Linked DNA regions of Coturnix japonica. The protein of the gene in region 3 purifies or fractionates together with the protein of the main gene of each other region. This does not show direct contact. Links are inferred from orthologs where the notes say so. Each region holds a gene or a part of one and is shown on either strand. Other genes may lie near its edges.

Region 1 (3,645 bases), on a different chromosome or scaffold from region 3:
TGACATGTCTGATGACTGCTTGTTTAAAGGTACTGATTGTGTCTGAAGATCCTGCACTGCCCTACATGCGTCCACCTCTCTCCAAAGAGCTGTGGTTTTCAGATGATCCTCACGTGACAGAAACTCTACGGTTCAAACAGTGGAATGGCAAAGAAAGGAGGTATGTGTCACTTGGGCAGGAAAGACAAAGAAGAGGGTCTATAAAGAAGCTGCTGATGATTAAAGTAGTCTTATGAGAGAACCACTGGAGAGCCCTGAAATGCTCAGAAGGCAGATCACCAGGTAGCACTGTGTTTGTGCTGAAGGCCCTGGGTGTGTGTGTATTTGTGTGTATTGTTGGTTGACTAATCCAAAAAGGAACAGAGCATTGCATGCTGTGGGCAGAATTTGTGTGGTGTTTGCACTGGGCCAGGTGACTACATTGTGCAGTTCAAAAAGCTGCAGATTCATGGAGTGTGGGTTTGCAGAGCTGTTACAGACGTGTCAGTCAAGCAACAGATCAGGCTGTAAGGCATGGTAGTTGTCAAGAAGAGTGCAGCTTAATATAAGTTAGCTCAATACTAAATTGAATTTGAGACTTGTGATTCCCTTAGATGTATGTGTAATGCTATAACACGATGGAAAGTACGATAATAATAGAGGGGCAAAATACTTTGACCAAAGCAAATGAGGATAAGCCCAAGTGCAGCAGTATAGAAACAAGGGGAAAAAACGTGCTTACCTTTAGAAGGTCTCCAGCATGCAGGGAACTCCAACAAGAGATGCCCTTACTTCCACTGCCAACCCTTAAATGAGGGCTGGGAAGAGGCATATCCTGACTCCATCCCTTTCATCCCTCAGATACACTGCATGCACCTGAGCTCCTCTGGGCTGGCCCTGCCTTCCCACCAGGTGTTCAATCACTGCTTCAAGCTCAACAGTGTTTTTGCTACAATATGCCACTAGTAGGAGAAATCCCGTGAAATAAGTTAATTGTAGAGGTGAGGATGGAGCCTTGCAGTTCAGAATGGAGCTCCTGGAACCTTGGATCCCACCGGATCCCTTTGGTATTCGTGACTGTATCTCTTTCTGATCTAAACACTAGAATGTAACAATGTGCAGCAACTAGTTCTTTGCTGTTTCTGAGGCTTGTTGTGGTTGCACACAGTTGTTTTCATGTCATTGGTGATTCCTGTATAGCTGGTACCAAAGAGTAACTGGAACACATCTGCTAATTGATCTCTTCCCAGTATATATTTCCAGCCACCGTCATTCTATGTGCAGGCTCGTGATTTGCCTTTTGTAGAGAATGGTGGAGTAGCAGTTCTCAGTGGCAAGAAGGTGAGTACTACATGTCTCGCTGTCGTTCTAATGTCATACAGTTCTTCCCAAGCAGAGCCTGTGTCTGAGCTGGAAATAAACAGCTGTAGATGGTGTTGTGGAGGTTGGCTGAGGAGAAGAATGTGGACAGTTTTCAGAAACGTGTATACAGTGAATCAGGGACTACCCTAATATTAAGGACAGCATGTGTGAAAGCAGGAGAAGCTATGAGGAGTAGTAGCTAAAGGTAAGAAGACAGTTTGTGTGTGGGATAAGAATATGTAGAGCTTAAAGACTGTGTGGCAAAATGGGAACTGAGCTGCATATGAGTTGGAAGGTGAGGTGAGTAGAATATCATCAAAGTAGTGGACTGCAGCATAAGTAAGAGCAGAGTACAGAGGCAGCAGAAAGGTGGAAAAGAGTTTATGGTTTCCTCAGTTCTTTATATCTTGCTAAAACAAAGAATGTAGTCTTCTCACTGCTGAATTGTTTCTTACATTCATATCCTGCGGTGATCAGTCCAATCTGTCATTGCTACCAAAAGAAACTGAATTCCTATTGCCAGTTCCCCCCTCCCTGAAAAATTACAGAGCATTTCAAAGGTGTGAAAATGGTGCTTCCAAGTATTCTTCTCTATTTGGTAGTCTGTGCAATCTGACTCAAGTAGGTGTCCTACAATGAGTGGAAGCCTGAGCTGCCCTGCTTGGTTTTCTTTGCAGGTTGTGCATATGGATGTGAGAGGCAACACTGTGAAACTCAATGATGGCACGCAGATATCCTATGATAAATGTCTAATTGCGACTGGTGAGACTTTTGTTCTGATCTCCTGTTCTTCATGTTGTGTCGGGCTTTTGATTTCAGTGGCATTAAGTGACAAGCTTCTGCCATGTGGCAGAGCAGTCACACGAAGGGCAATAATACAGACAAACGTGGTGGCGCTGGGTTTTTTACTTGCTTTGCATAAGCCAGCTTCTCTGGGACATTCAGAGTTTTACCCTGTGAAAAGCAGCAGGGAAGGAGGAAAAGGTGACTGCCCCAGCAGCTGGGTAAAGGCACTCCTCTATAGTCTGGGGTTTTCAAATCCTGCCTTTAGCAGCAGTAAGGAGAACACCCAGCTCTTAGCTTGGTAGAGCACCACTGCAGCATCCAGCACTAGCGGTTACATCCTTGTGTAGTTAATTTGGAACTGACTCTGCAGTCAGTGGAGCAAGGTGCATGGCATTAGGTTGATTGTGGGGGGTGTTTCTGTTGGCTTGTTTTAACTCAGACTGCAGACTTGTCCACTGCTTGCACTGAAGGTCTTCCATGGTGGAAACCAGAGGGCAAAAGAGAATAGAGCATACTGTAACAGCTTGAAAAGCTCAGTCCAGATGGGTGGTGGCTCTGCATTGCTGACATGGCCAGCAGTCACAAACATTTCTCTCTCCCTGTCTTCCCCCTCCTCCCTTCCACCCTGTCCTCAGGTGGTTCCCCAAGGAACCTGCCCGCCATCGAAAGGGCAGGAAAAGATGTACAACAACGGCTGACGCTGTTCCGAAAGGTAATCTACAGGCACTGCTAGACCTGGGGTGAGGCTGAGCTCATCAGAAACACTGCCAGCATTTTCAGCTTGTTAACTCTTCTGCATTGGGTCCAGGACAGCCTTGCCTTGACTACCAGCTCCCCTCAGCTGGTAACCAGGGATCCATTTGCTGTTTATTCTTTTCCCTGAGCAGGTGAATGGGATAAAGCCTGACCTCGCCCTCCCCCTTAGCCTGAAACATTCCTATCATAGACTGAAGTTTTAGCTGAGTGTTTGTGTTAGCTCTTGGGTTAGCTTAGGTAGTTTAGATACTCTAATGTCTTCTTCATGGCATTTCTTCACCTTCATCCTGCGCCTTAGGGGAAAGTGGGTGAAAGAATTGAAGTTAGTTGGCAGACTCCTAGTTTTTGTTGGAGGGATGCTTTTTGTTGACAAGCTCCACGTGTCTTGTAGGGTTTACAACAGACAGGGAGTTTCTTCCTTAGTCTGGTTCAGGGAATTAATTGAGGACAAGGAGCCCTGTGGGAATGTCGTGCCCTGCACTGGACTTGCCTTGGTCCAGTCACTGTCAGGTCTGCTGTGATCGGCTCAGCTGTGTAAGGGATGTGTAACAGAAATGTAATGGGGGACGTGGTGTTCTTACAGTACTGTGTGTGCTGTAACCTGGAGATTTCATTGCAATTTCCTCTTGACGTGTGGGAGAAAATGCTGAGATTGTGCAAGTTTTTCCCCATCACCAAACACTAGGAAGCCAGACAGTTTGGGTTTTCTCTTTCCTGTTTCTCTTTTTCTTTCTGTGCAATAGAGGAAGGAGAAACATGTCT
Region 2 (4,183 bases), on a different chromosome or scaffold from region 3:
GTCAGTTCCAAAAATAAATTCCCCATCTGATTTGTGCTAAAGCTTTAATCTCATTACTTTTGGACGGTGATAACAGATCAAAGGTATCTATAAGATGGTAAGATTTCAGGCACCGATGTGTTTCGTTGAGCCTATTAAGTTACATAAGAATAATAAAATGCCTGTTCTGAGTGAATAACCTGTCATGGTGATCAACTTAAAGAATTGGTGGCATCAGCTACACAGTGCAGCACCCACAGCAGGGAAAATCCCTGCATGAAGGACTGCAAGTTTCATCAGACAAGAGAAAATGGCTTATTATACTGCTGCCCAGATTTACCTGTCAACATAAAAAACTTAAGTGCTACATAAAACAGTACGATGTTGGCTTAGCAATGTGTCAGAACGAATGGTGTGAATGACCAGACCCTTGCAATCATTCCTATTGATGGCAGCAGGTTCTAAACCAGGCTTGCTTAATCGCATACTGCAGGCAATGCAAAGCACAGAGAAAAAGCCATGCTCAAATGCCAGAGATACAGACGCTGGACCTACACCCAAACACAATTAATAATGCATGTCTCCATTCTCGAGACATTCAAACCACCTATTTGTATACACGGTCAGTATATTGGAAAGAGCATCATACATCTCTTTCATTACCTCGGGGAACATTCAGTGCATTCCTTTTTACCCTTTCCCTTGTATTTCTTCAAGGAAGCAATGCATAGGATCTAAAATCAGCACTTGTGATCAGACACGCTATATGCTGTGCTATCATAATTCTAAATATCCAGAAAACTTGGCAGATGGCAATTTTCCTCCACGGAGACTGTAGCAGGGGTGGCAGGGGAGTGAAGTGCTTCAAGAAGCTCCTACACGCCACGTTCAGTAACTGCACTTACAGGCACGCCCACAATTAACTAAAACAGTATGACTTTTCCTAACTGTGAAGGCAGCCATCCATCAAAACACCAAGCCAATGAGTTCTGAGTCATCTCCTCTCACCCTAAGACTTCATTTAGGATTCCAGTCCACCTCCTCTGACCCAAAACCTAATTAATCTGAGGAATCCCTCAGGGACGGCTCACATTTATTTCCCCATAAGCGAACCCCCTCCGCCTCCTCAGACTGCTCCCGGAGCGGGGCGGGGCGGAGGCCCGGCCCCTCACAGCAGCGTTACTCCGTTGTTAGGCAACGGCCGTGCAACAAGCGGCTCCCGCACAACGCCCCACCGCCCCCACCGGGCACACAGGGCACACAGAGGCCAGGCCAGGCCAGGCCAGGCCCCGTTCCCCCGTTCCCCCGTTCCCCGCTCCCCGCACCGCCTGCCGGGCCCATCCCGTTCCCCGCCGCTCAGCCCCGCGGAAGACAGCGAGGCCGCCCGCTCGCAGCCCGGGGCGGACGCTCGACCTCCGCTCTGCGGAGCCGGGAATGGGGCAAAACGGAGCGAGGCAGCACCGAGCGCTGACCCGCCCGCACCGCCGCTCACCGGCACACACAGCCCCGTCCGCCTCCCGCGCCGGTCGCCACCTCCCCGGAAGCCGGCGGGCGGCTTTCTGCCGTCCCGGAGCTCATTCTCGCTAGCGCCGCCTGTCGCCGCGGAGGACCCGGCCCGGCCGCTTGGCCTCCACCTCCCGGCTTCCCCGGGCCTGCGCGGACCGCAGCAGCTCCCCGTTCCGCCCGGCGAGTCGCGGCCTGGCTCGGGCCGCTGCGGCTGCGGAGGGGTTGGGCGGAGCGGGCGCGGGGCGCGATGGCGGCGGCGAGCGGCTCGTCCGGGAGCGGGATGGCGCAGAAGACGTGGGAGCTGGCCAACAACATGCAGGAGGCGCAGAGCATCGACGAGATCTACAAGTACGACCGCAAGCAGCAGCAGGAGATCCTGGCGGCCAAACCCTGGACTAAGGAGTGAGAGCGGGGCCGTGGGGCGGGCGGGAGAGCGGGCGGCGGGGCCGGGGGTTGAGGCGAGGCGAGGCGAGGAGAGGCCCTGAGCGCTAAATCGGCCTCTGTCCCGCCGCAGCCACCATTACTTCAAGTACTGCAAGATCTCGGCGCTGGCCCTGCTGAAGATGGTGATGCACGCCCGCTCGGGGGGCAACCTGGAGGTGATGGGGCTGATGCTGGGCAAGGTGGACGGGGAGACCATGATCATCATGGACAGCTTCGCTCTGCCGGTGGAGGGCACCGAGACCCGCGTCAACGCGCAGGCGGCCGCCTACGAGTACATGGCCGCCTACATCGAGAACGCCAAGCAGGTATGCTGCGGTGGGGGGGATATGGCGTTGCTCTTAACTTCTTGCTTTTGGAAGTCTTAAGTCTGAAAGTGCAGTAAAATTCTCAATTGCGGAGGGAGGGTGGTCCTCCCTCTCTGCCCCAGTAATGCCACAGCTGAAGTATTCTGTCCAGTTCTGGGCTCCTCCGTTCAAGAAAGACAGGGAGCTTCTGGAGAGAGTCCTGCAGAGCGCCACTAAGATATGAGGGTTCTGGAGCATCTCCTGCATGAGGAAAGGCTGAGAGAGCTGGGACTGTTCAGCCTGGAGAAGGCTGAGGGATCTCATTACTGTTTATAAATATCTAAAGTGTAGGAGTCAAGTGGACACAGCCAGACTCCTTTCAGTGGTATGCAGCAACAGAATAAGAAGCAACAAAACAAATCTGCAACACAGGAAGTTCCATACAAACAGAAGGAAGAACTTTATCATCAGAGTGATGGTGCCCTGGAACAAGCTGCCCAGAGGGGTTGTGGAATCTCCTCTGAAGATATTCAGAACCTGCTTGATGTTTTCCTCTGACCCACTATAGGCAATCTGCTTTTAGCAGAGGGGTTGGGCTAGATGGTTATCCCCAGAAGTCCCTTCCAATCCATACAACTATGTGATTCTGTGAAATATTAATCTGCTCTGTGGCTGATGCAGAAGCTGACATGGCATATGAGCACTTGCTGGCTCAAATAAGCACTGGAATCCCTCAGACTGTCCAAGCTCAAATAGTTTGAGGCCTAGTTTACCCTTTGATTTGTCATTAATCCTTAAAGTATTTTAACTCAGCTGAAATTAGAGGGTCCTTACATAGTGTAGATAAAGGTACAACTATTTAGGTTATTTTGGAGAGGTGTCACAGCTTTCTGTGGGTTTAAGGACATTTAACTAAATTAGGTTGGATCGTGACTTCAGAAGAGAGTAAATACAGCCCAAAGGTAAGGATGTTCTAAGGCCTGTGGTGGGTTTTTTTGTTGTTTTTCGTTAACTTATCACGCTTCTTTATGAGAAAATTTCTAAGTGATCTATTTAACGTATTACTTTAATATATTATTACTTATATTATTATTACTTTAATATATTATTAAAGTAATGATTTATTGTATTCTTACTGAAAAGTATAGAAAATGAAAGGGTGTTTATATCTGAAGATACGTTTGTACTACCCAGTTCTTAGGTAGAAAAATTGTCTTAAGTATAGAGCATGGCATCGGTATTTACATGTACGGTTAGTTCATTTGACTTTTAGAACAGCCCAGGTTTATATGGGAGAATTCATGATACGAAAATAAAGCAAAAACAATAACTCAGCTTTACTGGAGCTCTGACAGTGCGTCCTGGCTGCTTCACATCTGAGGTTGGAAAGCACTTTGTCCTGGAGTAACTCTTTTTAATGTTAGATTACATGTTGATAATAAGAGCACTCTGCATAAGTGCTCTACAGAAGCTAATGTTGCAATTACTTGCTCCTCCATAGGCAGGATCTGATGATAAAATAGTTAAAAGAAAAATGTTATTTGTTTCAACGACTCAAATGTTCAGTTGGGTAGATCGTGTGTTCTGTCCCTCTTAATAGTTTCCAGATTTAACCTTCCTGGTATGCTCAGTATTTGGCAAAACCAAGCAGCTGAATGCATTGAACACACTGCCATGTAGGATGTACATAAATCCTTTCACTCAATATTGATCAGCCAGTACACAGTTCTTGGCCAGTTACAATAAACTAGGTGCGCTGGCTGTTTATTCACCGTGATTAACAATCAATTTTGATTGGTTTTGTTTGTTTGTTTGGGGTACTTGCTGAGATATCCCGGAGTATTATTTGGGAACTTCTTTTATAGTTAAGCAAAATAAAGTGCATGTTGAATATTTCAAGTTAGCATACAGGCTGTGTATATTCTTTTTATCCTCTTGCTGCGTTGTAGTGTGCTGGAAGGCTCAGTAGA
Region 3 (4,228 bases):
TTTAAATAATCAGAGCCAGCATATATACATTATTTCAACTCCACTGTTGCCAGTTCTTGTGGAAATGCACCAGCTAGGTCCCTACAGACTGATGCATCAGCACACCAGGACAGACAAAACGCTACAGTGTGTTAGTTCCCCGCTGTGTATCCAAGTGCTTTATTCAATAGTTACCTATCATATCCTTCTAAGATTCCTCCTTCAGGAAAACACACCATAGACAAAGAAGGTTTCCACCATATTAGAAGTTGCACAGAAGTATTTCTATATACTTAAAGTTACTGTGAAAGACAAAAGCTACTTACATGGAAAAATGGCTTGATCATTTTGCATGGTCCACACCATGTGGCAGAGAAATCAACTACTATAAGCTTCTCACCAGCAGCTTTCAGTTCTGCCTCAAATTCGGACTGTAAAGAAAAAAGAAATCAAAACATTAAGGATTTCCCCCCTCATTTGCAAAAGGTTCAAGACTAACCCCCAAGTCAGCTTTCCCTTAGCTCCATCAGCACTGCATCCCCCACTGTCTTCTGATGAATTATGAGTATCAATTATGAAACATCACAATGCTCAGTCACTGAACTGTGGAAGTTTATGTAGAACTCAGCATGAACTGAGACCGTAAGCTAAACTGAGTAATGTTACACTTCTAACGTGATCCTGACGGTCCTTAGCATTCAGTTCTAATCTCCAATTTAATAGGATGTCGTCCATTTTCTTCTAGGATTCCTCAGAATCTGAGGACAAACTTCCACAGTTTCATGGTCTGATACCTTTCCCAAGCAATGGTTAGAATCAAGATGTTGCGTGGTTTACCCTACAGCATGTTTCCTAGAGCAACAGCTTCATCATATAAATATTTTATTATGCCAAGTAAATTGGGGTGTAACTCCAGTACTCAATGCAAAGCTACACAGTCTATGCCAGTAACAACTAACATTTAAGGTTAACAGAGATATCTCTGTTGCACTTTGTTACAAGAGACATTTCTGGACATCACGCTTTGCATTTCAGAGCTCCTTATGTGCCGCTGTTTTCAAAGAGCAAATGTTTCAACAGAAGTGTAAGGCACTGAAGGAAAGAAATATTTGCATGCTAAAAAACAAACAAGTATCTCAGGCAGAGCAAGCAGAGGATGCTGATCCAACACACAGGCAAGGGTGGCAGCAAGAAGTTCTTCCTCTCTCTCTTCTTCTCCACCACTGTGCTAATGTGGGGTGTATTCCTGCATCCCAGTCTCTAAAGCACAACACTGCCTCCAGCAAAGTTCAGCGTTCACATACACAGTAGTCCATGCTATCTGCTCCCAGTGGTTACTTAAAACCATAAGGCTGTTAAATAGAGCCTCACTCACTCCCACCTCCAAATCCCTGATTTCTGGCATATATTCTCACAACTTAGTGCTGTAACAGCCTTATTAATATTAATTCTACCTCCTGCACCCACCAATTGGACTATTTTCCTCAGTCCAAATGACTGATTGCTGTACCCTGCATGAGGAAGGCCATCCCTGGGACGCGCTGATCATATGACCACACATCTCAGGGCAATATTGCACAGAACAAGGGCAAAGTGGGAGGACATGGCACTTCCTGCAGATCACAACCCATACACCACTGGAGATCTGAGCACTGCTCTCCAGCTGCAGCCAGGCGTTACCCTGTGAGTCATCCCTAGAATTAGCTAAAATTGCTACAGGCAGCCTGAGAAGAGACACGAGGTCCAACGGTGTTACCCCTGAGATACCCAGCAAGGGGTAAGTGTTGGTATTTTTTCCTCAGAAAACATTAATATCCCTGAAGTAAGGAATACAGCAGGAAAACTGGCTGACCTTTCTGACTTCTAGTCTTTCTGCAGTAAGTATGGATTAATAAGATTCATACAGAAATATCTCCATTATCAGAATGGACACCTCCCCCTGTTAGTCCACGTGGCTACAGCTGTTAGAGGATCTCACAGCTTTTTCAGCAATATTTTCCTTAGTCCTCTGGAGGGGAAAAGCCCATAAACACTTTTCAAATACCCATCTGGTGCCTCCCTGAGGCCTCGGCCTCACTTTGCTGGGCGCAGCAGGCAGCATTATGTTAGCAGATTTCAGTTTCCAAGGGCCGGCTGCGAGAAAACAGGTGGCAAGGAGAGGTTCAATGCAGCAGGGATTCCCAGCAACCCAAAATGGAGGCCACCAACCAACGCCGTAAGAAATCCACCGCCCTCAGCATAGCTGGGACAGCCTTAATACAAGACCCCAGCTATAAGCACGATGTCTGACACCCACCGAGCCGCCCTTGGGCCGTGCTGATCCGGCAACCTGATCTAGTAAAGGCGTATGTTTGGTGGCCCTGCCAGGCAGGGGGGTTGGAACTACATGATCCTTGAGGTCCCTCCCAACCCGGGTCATTCTGTGATCGCGGCCATCAGCTGACAGCCAAGGGTCAGGGCGACGTGTTGCAGTTTAACCCGCTCCCGCAGTGCCCCCTGCGGCCGGAGCGCAGCCGCCATTGGGGAGCGGCCTCAGGCTCAGCGCACACAAAGGAGCGCGGCCCAAGGCCCGGCGCCGACACCAAGCCCCCCTCACCCACACCCCACCGTGCCGCCCCATGCACTCACCAGGCTGCCCACGCTCTTCACCATGGCGGCTCTCACTGTGCTGTACGGTCACAAGGCGGACAACGGGCTCGTCCCCGCGCACGCGCGTCCCGCACGCCGCTGCGCTCTCGGCTGTGTCTATACCGGTCCTCACTCCGCAACGCCAAACCAACGCTCTGCCGCCGCCGCCCCGGGCCTGCCCTTATATAGCCACCGCTGCATCGCGCATGCGCACTGAGCGCTCAGCCCATCGCCGGGCCACGCCCCTTCCCGCCCATGGCGCGGGTGACGTCACGAGGCGGGAAGGGGAGCGGCCGTTATAGTTCTTTCACAGGGCGGGGGTTGGGGGGAGCAGCGAGAGGGGGGAGAGGAGGGAAAATAGGGGGAAAAAAAGAAATAAAAAAAAAAAAAAAAAAAAAAAAGAAAGAAAAAAAAAACCAACCGTGTGACTGTAAGAAAAAGTGCTGCGTAACGCCGAGCAGGAAGTGGCGGGCAGGATCCTGCCCTGGAGGAGGGGAGGGGGTGGGAACCCGTATGGGGGGACTCCTCCTGTTTTATTTCTCGATTCTGTTTTAAAATCGTTTTAAAACTGGGTTTTTTTTCTGCCTCCAGCACCCATGTGCTGCGACACGGGCTGTGTGCTGGCCGTGCCACGTGTCTGCCTGTCCCCATGTCCGTGTGTCTGTCCCCTGTCTGCCCATGCTCCATATCTTCCTTTTCCTTTTATTCCCAGCCCCCTTGGCTTGTAAGAGACCCCAAAGATCATCCAGTTCCTGCATGGGAACCAACGGCTTCCCCTAGTTCAGCACCATCAGAGGACAATCAGTGTGCACTCAGCTCCCCGATAACCCACTGAAGAGACTGGACCTTAAATGGAGCCAATGCAGGACCCCACTGGTGACAATCTGCCATGTAACCCCATTAATACAACCCTCCAGTCCTGGCCCGTCAGCCAGCAGTTCTCCCAAGGCATTATACAGTGTCTAAGTGGCGCTGGACTTTGTGACCAGAGGATACAGTGAGAATCACACAGTGCAGCAGAAGGGCCAGTTTCACAGCAGATCCAAGCCTGGCCATGTCACAGAGGGCTGGGCACGTCCGGCATTAAGCAATGGTGCAGACAGCTGCCAAAGGGAGGAAGCTGCTGGAAGAACTGCCTGCAGCAACAGCTGCACCACGTTTTATCGCAGGAGAGACGGGTTATCTGCAGTGCATTACCACGCTGCATTTCATCTGGCCCTGACAGTCTTTAATGGTGCTTTCCCGTTCCTTGCAGCCTGCTCCTTGGGAGCACTCTTCTGTTGTAACTGACCCATTAAAGGTGCAATAAATATTTAATAATTAGATGGGTGTGCTGGGTGTCTGCCAGCCATATGCGCAGTGCACACAGAGCTCTGCTCTCACTGGTGACGTACCCAATCACCCAGCCTCTCTTGAACACTTGGCAGAGCACATCTGGTTGAAAGACGGAGGAGAAGCCATTGAACAATGACAGAAAGGAGGGGGAGAGCACTGCCACATACTGTACTTTCCAGGAATCAGCCCTGTGCTTCCAGGAAGCTGGCAGGAAGCAGGACCATCCCTGGGCCACCACAACCTCTGTGTGCCATCCCAATGCACATCCCATGAGTGATGTTCACAG

The links.
Region 1: the proteins of TXN (region 3) and AIFM1 purify together in Homo sapiens (affinity purification with mass spectrometry; 3 studies listed by BioGRID and IntAct, with this or other methods). This does not show direct contact. The link is inferred for Coturnix japonica from reciprocal best matches to the Homo sapiens genes TXN and AIFM1.
Region 2: the proteins of TXN (region 3) and COPS5 purify together in Homo sapiens (affinity purification with western blotting; 3 studies listed by BioGRID and IntAct, with this or other methods). This does not show direct contact. The link is inferred for Coturnix japonica from reciprocal best matches to the Homo sapiens genes TXN and COPS5.

What each region holds. Positions count from the first base shown.
Region 1 is NC_029519.1:1,537,200-1,540,844, forward strand, and holds part of AIFM1 (apoptosis-inducing factor 1, mitochondrial), read left to right. Parts: intron 1-29; coding exon 30-160; intron 161-1,229; coding exon 1,230-1,320; intron 1,321-1,375; exon of another isoform or gene 1,376-1,546; intron 1,547-2,018; coding exon 2,019-2,103; intron 2,104-2,762; coding exon 2,763-2,839; intron 2,840-3,645. UniProt on the Homo sapiens protein: Functions both as NADH oxidoreductase and as regulator of apoptosis.
Region 2 is NC_029517.1:104,436,309-104,440,491, reverse strand, and holds the start of COPS5 (COP9 signalosome complex subunit 5), read left to right. Parts: upstream 1-1,365; 5' UTR 1,366-1,732; coding exon 1,733-1,887; intron 1,888-1,999; coding exon 2,000-2,234; intron 2,235-4,183. UniProt on the Homo sapiens protein: Probable protease subunit of the COP9 signalosome complex (CSN), a complex involved in various cellular and developmental processes.
Region 3 is NC_029547.1:59,052,539-59,056,766, forward strand, and holds the start of TXN (thioredoxin), read right to left. Parts: upstream 2,833-4,228; 5' UTR 2,632-2,832; coding exon 2,608-2,631; intron 411-2,607; coding exon 306-410; intron 1-305. UniProt on the Homo sapiens protein: Participates in various redox reactions through the reversible oxidation of its active center dithiol to a disulfide and catalyzes dithiol-disulfide exchange reactions.